Kluyveromyces lactis: one gene and its partner. The protein of the gene in region 2 purifies or fractionates together with the protein of the main gene of each other region. This does not show direct contact. Links are inferred from orthologs where the notes say so. Each region holds a gene or a part of one and is shown on either strand. Other genes may lie near its edges.

Evidence for each region.
Region 1: the proteins of VPS8 (region 2) and VPS3 purify together in Saccharomyces cerevisiae (affinity purification with western blotting; 6 studies listed by BioGRID, with this or other methods). This does not show direct contact. The link is inferred for Kluyveromyces lactis from reciprocal best matches to the Saccharomyces cerevisiae genes VPS8 and VPS3.

What each region holds. Positions count from the first base shown.
Region 1 is NC_006039.1:1,049,595-1,054,166, reverse strand, and holds VPS3 (CORVET complex subunit VPS3), read right to left. Parts: upstream 2,856-4,572; coding exon 237-2,855; downstream 1-236. Other genes in the region: mitochondrial 37S ribosomal protein mS46 RSM28, read left to right, coding at 1-148; PUF6 (pumilio-family RNA binding domain-containing protein), read right to left, coding at 3,066-4,572. UniProt on the Saccharomyces cerevisiae protein: Required for sorting and processing of soluble vacuolar proteins, integrity of vacuolar morphology, efficient segregation of vacuolar material into the bud during the cell cycle, acidification of the vacuolar lumen, and assembly of the vacuolar H(+)-ATPase.
Region 2 is NC_006039.1:1,631,267-1,635,785, reverse strand, and holds the start of VPS8 (CORVET complex membrane-binding subunit VPS8), read right to left. Parts: upstream 2,996-4,519; coding exon 1-2,995. Other genes in the region: EFB1 (translation elongation factor 1 subunit beta), read right to left, coding at 3,345-3,888, 4,179-4,258. UniProt on the Saccharomyces cerevisiae protein: Required for localization and recycling of the CPY sorting receptor (VPS10) to the late-Golgi compartment. Involved in the retention of proteins to the late-Golgi. Plays an integral role in the complex vacuolar protein sorting process.

The DNA of each region.
Region 1 (4,572 bases), about 580 kb from region 2:
AAAAGCAGAAGACAAAAGAGAGCAACTTCTGCAAAATAGCGAAATTGTGAGAAAGAGTTTAGAACAAAGCAACTTGGCTTCAACTGAAAAAGAACTTTTGCAAAAAGTCTGTTCCGGTTTGGCACCAGTCTCTGAATTGACAGCTTGATTACAAGCCAGATCGCCTATAGACAAGATTAACCTCTATTTTTCATGTATATATTTTCACAATGCACTTAATGATATATCACACTATTTCACAGTTCTAAACAACGTTCGATATTGTTTATATTCTGAGTACGATGCCTTAAAATTCCTTTCTTAATCTGTAGATTATATGTTGATTCGTCTTTTCGTCTGAGTAACGGAAATAGGAAACCCGATAACACTGATATTTGAATGGTTGGGGGTATTTTTTCCAAAATTTCTATAAGTAGCCCAGAGTCGTTTATACAACACGTATTCTTGTTAAGGAATTGACTAATGACCCTAGTATTGTTGAGACTTAGATAGTGATCGATAACTTTCAGCACTACCTTATCGTTGGCTTGTAACAAGGACTCCACCGTAGCAAAATCATTCCGTGATAAATATATATCAAGTAGTTTTTCGAACCCGATCTTTTCCTTTAATACACTGATATCTGTGATCATGATTCGTAGAACGAAAGAAGCATCGATATCATCAATAATAGAACCTTCTTTTATATTTAAAGCCTTTTCTATTTTCAGAAGCTTGGTCCCTACATCGAAGCAACCCTCATATTCCTTTTTCTCACCCAGCTTATTTTTCAAATACTCTTTGAAAGGAGACTTGTTATATGTCATGTTGGTAATGTACTCCGTAATTGGTAAATTGGAACTTTCTATTAGCTTGCTGTTCAAAACAGTAAGTTTAGCTTTATAGTACTCGTAAAGAAATGTCAAATCTTGGGTGGAACTCGCACCCAGTTTTTCAAGCAAGAGAACCTTTGTATCAGGGTCTTCGATGGATGAGATGAGTCTTTTCACATCTAAGTTTAAATTGTTTATTAATTGTAAAACGTCGCTTACAGTGTCATCGTTATAATCTTTCAAAGCTGATGAAATATCATCAGTCAGCATTTCTTTAGAGTAAGTATCGGGTAGCTCTTGGAAATGAGTATTCAGGTAATTTATGAGCCTTTTTTGATCTGTTTGTCTTAGTATTTCGAGCAATGGGGTCACTTCTTTTGTCTTTTCATATATGGCTATTAAAGTTTCTGAATGTTCTTTTTTATGCTTAGAAAGCTCTTTAGCAATTTCTTGGTAACTAGTCGCCTCGTATTCATCAACATTTGAACTGCCTTTAGCGATGTTATCACGTAATAGAATTAAATCGAGCGATAAATAAACGTTCGCACTATCTTTTAAGCTATCGGAACACGTTTCTTTTAGTTGAAATTTCAAGTATTGTATGATGTTCAGAACGTCATTACACTTGTGAACTAGCTTCAATGAATGCAATTTTTTTGAAAATGCTAATAACCCATTAGGAATCCACAAATCTCCGTAAATGTCGAAACCAAGTAGGTAAATTAATACTCTGATATCTGCAACATCAATATATTTGAGCCAGGCATCGATTAAATCTTTATCAATGTGTTCCATATGTAATGTTAACAGCAAGACATAAAGGAACTGCAAGTAGCTTTTTTGAAGAAGCTGGTAATTGCTTTGTGACTCTTCAGTGATGAAAGACTTCAAAATTGGAAGAGTATCTTCGCCATAGCTCGAAATGGTGAGTAGAAATGGCTTTCGGCATAAAGAATATATACCACATTTTCCGTAGATAATCATGTGGCATTCAACCGCAATTTGTCTGGCCACATATGCTTTTTCTTGTTCTTCTCGAAATTGGAGTTCTTCTGCAATTAAAGGGACATATCTTAGTTTTTCAATTAATTCTTTATTAAACTGTCTCGTTATGAAAGGAGTCTGCAACTTTGTAATATGAAACGGGGTTTGATTTCTAACATTTTGTATAACTACTGGGTCGTTGTTTTCTTTTATTAAATGAATTTGAAGGCATTTAGAACCATGTAATTCTGATAGCACATACAGATTATCAACTATAACTGTGAGTGGATAATTTTCTATAACCACGGTACCGTGAGTGATTTCTCCATCATCGTTTAATATAAGTCCCATACAGTTTTGGTCATTTGATATTCCACATGTGACGATATATTCACTTTTTCCAAAATTTGTCACAATTGGTGAGAGTTCCTCATCATCTGTCTCAGACACTTTGAATAAAGGAGTTACCAGCTCATTTTCAAGATGGATTATCGAGTAAGAGTTATCAACAGCTGCCATAAGGAGTTTTGCGTCTTTTGAAGGAATGGCCTTTCTAATTCTCTTGATGTTATACTTCTGTTCGACTTTTATCTCTTTGCTTGTTATGCTTACTCGCTTTACCAAGTTCTTCGTGTATAAGAAACACGAGTAACATTGTGTTTTCTCACAGAACTCCAAAAGTGAAAGTTCTGTTATATTCATAATACTTGGTATATTTGAAGCAGGTGCAAATTCAGGCAGGAGAAACATTTTGAGTCTCCCTTCGGACAACACTAAGGCTCTATCAATTTTCGGCAGTAGCGTTATGCCATCAATTCCTGTTGGTCTGTCTTCATTGAAGTTGACTTCCGAGATCAGTGTGAAATTTCCAACATCTAATTCATAATAGTGTAGTAACGCTCCTGAAGTCGAGCCCAGGTAGATGTGCTGACCATAATATTCGATACATGAGTACTCATATTCATGAGGCACATTCTCGATTAATGGTGAAACAGCATATAATCCATCGGTTACTTCAAAGGCAGTTGAAATGGGTTTCTCTTTAGTATCGTCATTCATAAGCCATCAATGCCACTGCTGTAATTAGTGAATTGAGGAATAAATGTTCTTAGCTGTATTATCTCTGGTTCGCAGATGATAGTCTCATTTAAGGAAGTGTGAATCTTAATAGTAGACTAGAACGTCCTTCGTCCACAATGATGAGAAGCTATATCATCTTTAATATACATATTTTAGAGCCAAACTATATAACGACTTGACTATACATACTCAATGCTTCATTAGCTTTAGAAGTAGTTGAGCACCCTTGTTTGAATCGTTCGTCTCTATTTTCTTGATCACTTTTTTCAAATCATGATCGAATTGTTCCCCTTCTTCAGTCCCATGTAAGGCTTCATACAATGCCACAATGGTAAAAGAACTGTTGGGTTTGTTGATCCAATCGAGTAGGTTGCTGGAATCAATGATGTCTTCATAAAATTTTTCAGCAAATGGAATACCAAGTCCCTGAACTTTTTCTAGAGGTTCTAGTTTTCTTGCTTTCACGTTGTATCTACCATTTTGAATGAGAGACTTTAGCAACCTTGCCGAAAATGGTTTGTTAATAGGGTGGTCTTCTTCTGAAATGTCACCTTTGAAATAAATGGCGACGGTGTCCACAAGCTCGGCAAACAACTTTTGATCAGACTCTGAAAGTTGTTCATAGACATCATCGTTAACGAGTAAATCTGCGACAAATTGAGAACCGATGTTTTCATCTAGAATGGTTTTGTAGTGTTCGTTTACGCCAGATAAAATCATTGGTGCGAACCTTTTTAATAATTCAAGTCTTCTTTGGTCAAATGGCTTCTTGGAAGTAGTTTCCGACATCTTAATGTATCTTTGTAGTTCATTCTTCATATTTGGACCGAAGTATTTACCATCTAATCCTAAAAGTAGGAATAAGAGCGGCCTCCTACCAAATTTATCAACAATCAATTCTGGAAGATGTTCCTTAATTGGTGGGGAAAATGCCTTGGAGACGAGAACAGTATCATCGACTGTCATTAATAAAGTTATGAAAACAACGGCACCGTGTTCATTTTGAATTAACTTGATTGCATGTTCTTTCAAGGTCTTTATCAACCCCTTTCTTTCTTTGGCATTTGCTTTAGCGATTAAAGTAGATGCAACTTCTGCACCTTCTGGGGTATGCACTAATTCCGCAAAGTTCTCTTCTAAAAGTTCGATGAACTCAGATGTTTCTTTATCGTTGGCGATTTTGACGTATTCCCTCATTGCTGCGTGTAAAATCTGGAAACCTGCCGAACCTTTTTCAACAGAAGCAGTGATGGTACCAATCAAGTTTCTAGCGATAATATTTCTCTTTTCTACGCTGGAAGCACAAACTTCTTCGAGCGTAAGTTCCTTATGAGATTCTCTGAATACGGCGTATTCTGAACCCCAAAATTCTCTGATCATTTGATTTCTTTGTTCTTGAGAGGCATAAAGAACAAACAAATCTTCGACCACATAGGCACCTTCACGGTGTCTCATTAGTTTTCTCAAATTACCATGTAGTTGATCGATTATGATTTGTCTAGATTTTCGGGAACCATAATGTAACAATTTAACCAACAAATATTTACCATATGATGATGTGGCCAAAACATAAATTTTATCTTTCAATGCCAACGTGATCTGTTCTCTGCGCTCTTTGGAAGAATATTTGACTAATGTCTGGACAATTCTGGATGCATCATGCTTCAATACTAAATCTTCAATACAATCATTCGAG
Region 2 (4,519 bases):
ATACACTGATGCCTAAATCCAAATAATTATCAATTTCGTCAAAATCATTATTTTGTAATAACTCGTTGATTTTCGAGTTTATTTTATCTATTGCCGACCCATAGTTCTTTAGCCGTACTAGCAATCGTATCAAAGTTCTCGAATCCCTATTTCCGTTAATAATATCTACAATACTCTCAACTTCGATGTTTTTAAGGTCAATATTGTCAACCCATTGTGATACACCGGACGCATCTCCGGTTTCATACAACAATGATAGATACTTCGGCCTTGCTTTCTTCAAAAATGGGGCAGATAGATGATAGTTCCCAGACAGAAGTATACGAAGATATCCTAAGAGCGTCAACGGATCAGAAATAAGAAGAATTTTTTCATGTAAGCTACTATCAAAAGAGTCTATGATTGAGACAAGGGAACGCTGATCTTGACAATTTTCGATAATCTTCGGAAATGTATCTGATAGAAGGTCGCAAATTTCACTTCGACCGATAGGCGATTTCGCTGTAGCACCATCACATAGTTTCAAACCTGCAATAATATCATTGCCATTCGTATTCCTGTGTTGATCGCTAAGAATAAAGGTAAGATAATCTGTATATCTTCCGGCCTTTTTATATAGCAGAAGCCGAACACGATAAAAATCCACTCCTGACATTTTATCAATTAGGGCGTTAATATTATCTGGTGAATAAACAGACAATAGTGCTTCAAGACAATCTTCAGAAATTTGTTCAAATCCTTCCAAATCAGCAGATAATATGACGTCTATTTGTGAGTCAATGATAGTGTTGGTTAGGCGAATAAACTGAGAATACTTTGGCAAATTGTTGAACACAAAGAGGGCAATAAGAAGTTTCACATGATTTTCTTTGAAATTCTTCTGTATGTCCAAAAGAACATCAATTATATGTTGTCTAGTAAAATGAAATCCATTTTGAGGGGATTCATTGAACAGAACATCTTCAAATGAGACATCAAGAACGTGCAAGAAATTTTGCGCACTTGATGATATTAAAAGGGAAGCATATGGAAAGGCTGGTTCTTCTGCTGGTAGGGGACACGTTAAAAGCTTTTTTCCAGAGCCTTGTGGCCATTCCAAAGAAGAGCCACTAAAAAGTAAGCTGTAATAAAAGTTCTTTAGGTATAGAATCTTTTTGGAAGGCACTCTTTTTTCTGTTGGATAAACTTTTCCCAATAAAGTTGATTCGATGTACTCGAAAAGGGTATTATCTTCAATGTTAGCATCAAAAACTACACAACATTCTTCTTTGCCAGCAAAGTAAAATATTATATCCACTAGGGGACTTTTATAATCATCCAAAATGGTTGTCCAGAGATATAAAAGTGCAGAGTAGAGACGAAACTCTTTGCAAACCTTGAAAGCATAATCCAAATCCAAAGTTGTACCGTCTAGCGATAATAAAATTGTCTCTAACCTTCTATCATTTCCTGAAGACACTGTGTATTCCATCACAGCCTTGAAAAGTATTGGTGAGAGGTATGTTACTGTCCCGTTAACGATTTTTTCGTAAAGTATTTCTTGAAATTCTTCGTTATGTTTGGTCATCAAAGCTTCCCCTACCTGTTCTAAAAGCACATACATCTTTTCATCTGAGAAAATACTTCCCAAGTCCAAAATCAATGATGTAGCTTCAGTGACCTTACTGTAACTTATATCATCTTTCTTCAGTAAAAATTGAACAGTTGCTAGTGTCAAGTTGTTAAACGATGGTTCAATTTGTCTGATTCTTTTCTGATAGTCTTTTTCCAGATGTAATAAGGCGGTTATCGAATCGAATGATGGACCTTGTAAATAGTAACCTAGGGTTCCTAATGCATTAATGTAATCTCCTTTATGTATATGGTGTAAGACAATATCGGACCATGAGTTAATTTTCCCCACCATTAAACTGTAATTGGTGAGCACAACAATCGTGTTATTTAACGTAGCGAAATGGTTCTCAGATTCTGGAACCATCAGTTCATGAATAAGTAAGTCAATACTAGTGAGTACAGGATCCTCATCGGTATCAACACTACCTATGTTTAAAACGAGAAGCTTACTTGACAAGAGCAAAATAGTCAAAATGTTATTTGTGAGCCAGGCAACTTTACAAATGCATTCAGGAGCTTCGTACGTCCATTGTAAAGTCGGAAACCTGATATCGACAAGGCTCAACTGGTTATCTACAGAGAAGGCAACCTGATTTGGATTGACGTCATTCCAGGAGATATATCCAAAAGTGGCCGAGTTTTTGTGTGACAATTCAATGAGCCGATAAGTTGATAAAGTTGGCGATGACAATGATATGACTGCGAAGGATCGATTAGATAAAACTGCTAACAGATGTTCAGCATCATAATCTTCACCGTTGCTTCGAATGCGCGTAGTCAATAAAGGGTTTATCATTGGATTCAGCCTCAAGATTTCTTTTGCACTAGGTACCAATTGCCAAAGATGATTTCTAGTACCCTTGTGAAGTACAATATGTCCTGTAGAATCACTGACTGCAATATTGGTATGTTTCCCCGGGATAAAATTAAGACCATTAAAGGAATGTCCTCTATGAGAAGCAATATGCAGCACGGCTTCTAGATGATTAGAATCGGAATTTTCATCGACTTGAGAGTTTAAGTCCCACAGGAATATATCACCGGATTCATAGGCTGCGCAAACATGGGTACCATCCTGATTTATATCGATAAATGTTACCTTGGATCTAAAATCTGGTAAAGATGGTGCTAGTACAGATTGAACGAATTGTTTCTTGTTAAAGATAACAACGGCTCCCTTTGCCGTACCTATGATATAGTAGAGCTGAACCGGAAGAATGAAAGTAGGTCCCCCATAATATGATAAATTCGGATACACTTGTTGCAATGAAGTCCAGCTTACATGCAGGGATTCATCCTGAGAGCTCTTAAAGGGATTAAACTTTTCGAAATCGGTTGTGTTGTTTCTCTTATCGTGGCCAGTACTATGAGAGCCATTCATTTGAAACTTGAATCTTGCTGGCAATTGACAAACAGGTAATCGAAAACTGTTTTAACCGAACTTAGACCGTAGGGCTTCTGTTGCCTTTCCTGTTTTTTTTTCTCATATTTTACCTTAAATGCAGCATGATGTTTAATTAATTATCTATATGCATTTATATTATGCACATTTCTATTCTTAAGATGCTCAGAGGCTGTAAACCTAAAAGAAAGATGAACATAACAGGATAAAAGAGACAGCAAGGGTTCGGGTCCAGCAAGAAAGCACGAAGGGGGTCGTTGAGAAATATAGTATATTTATTTATTCATTTATGTAAGGGGAAAAAGGTGAAGAACTTAAATTAGTTTAATTACAACTTTTGCATAGCAGCAACATCAGTAGATTGGACGTGGTCTTCATCTTCTTCGATAAGTTGTTGCAATTCATCAAGAGAAACCTTAGCATCTTCGATGACCATGTTAATTTGCAACTTCTTGATACCGAAACCAATTGGAATCCATTGGTGAGCACCCCAGTTCAAACCATCCATTTCGATGTTCTTAACGTTGGCAACCAATTCTTCCAAATCGGTTTCGTCATCCCATGGCTTAACATCCAAGGTAACGATAGACTTAGCAGCAGCCTTTGGCTTAGCAGCCTTCTTTTCGTTGTATTCAGCGATTCTCTTAGCCTTCAATTGTTCAGCTTCTTCATCGACATCATCGTCAGAACCGAACAAATCGACTTCGTCATCGTCATCTTCTTCTTCAGCAGCAGCTGGTGTAGAAGTAGCAGCTGGCAAGGATTCGAATTGATCAGCCTTGGAAGCAATGTGGTTGAACCATCTAGAGAATTCTGGGTAAGTAGATTGGAAAGCCTTGAAAGCAGAGACGTCAGCTTGAGTAGCAGAGGTACTATATTGATGCAATTGTTAGTTAGTAAAATGGAAAGAACAAAAAAATGAAATTTTTTTGTATGGCAGCTAAGCTTGCTTGCTGAAAAGAGAATTCAATAAAAAAGATAAATCAGAATCGTACTGTCTAGGTACTGTCTCTTTGTCACTCATACCGGGGGTCTTACTTCCCGTCATAAACACGGACCAAAGAATTTGTTCATCATTGAAATAGTAAACTTTGAAGAATTCTCTTATTCAAAAAACTGCTTGATGCCATTGGAAAACCACCACTATAATTATTTCACATACCCTTCAATGTAAGACTTGTCAGCCAAGAAAGTGTTCAACTTTTGCAAGGTTTCGACCTTGGAGAAATCAGAGAAAGACATCGTTAATGGATAGTTAAACCTGGTGAGAGAAGAAACTAGGAAAGAATCAATTCCTCTTCTTCTTCTTACAAGGAACGTTGAATCAAATTGACGAAAAAAAAATACTGAAAAGCTGATGAAAAACTCTAATTCGAAAAGTTCCAATATATATATATATATATTTATGAGATATATGATATGTAAGACGTATGTACTATGGAATTATGGCATCTACGTGTATTCAAAGTGCATGCAATGTGCGGTGGAAGAAAATTTTTTTTC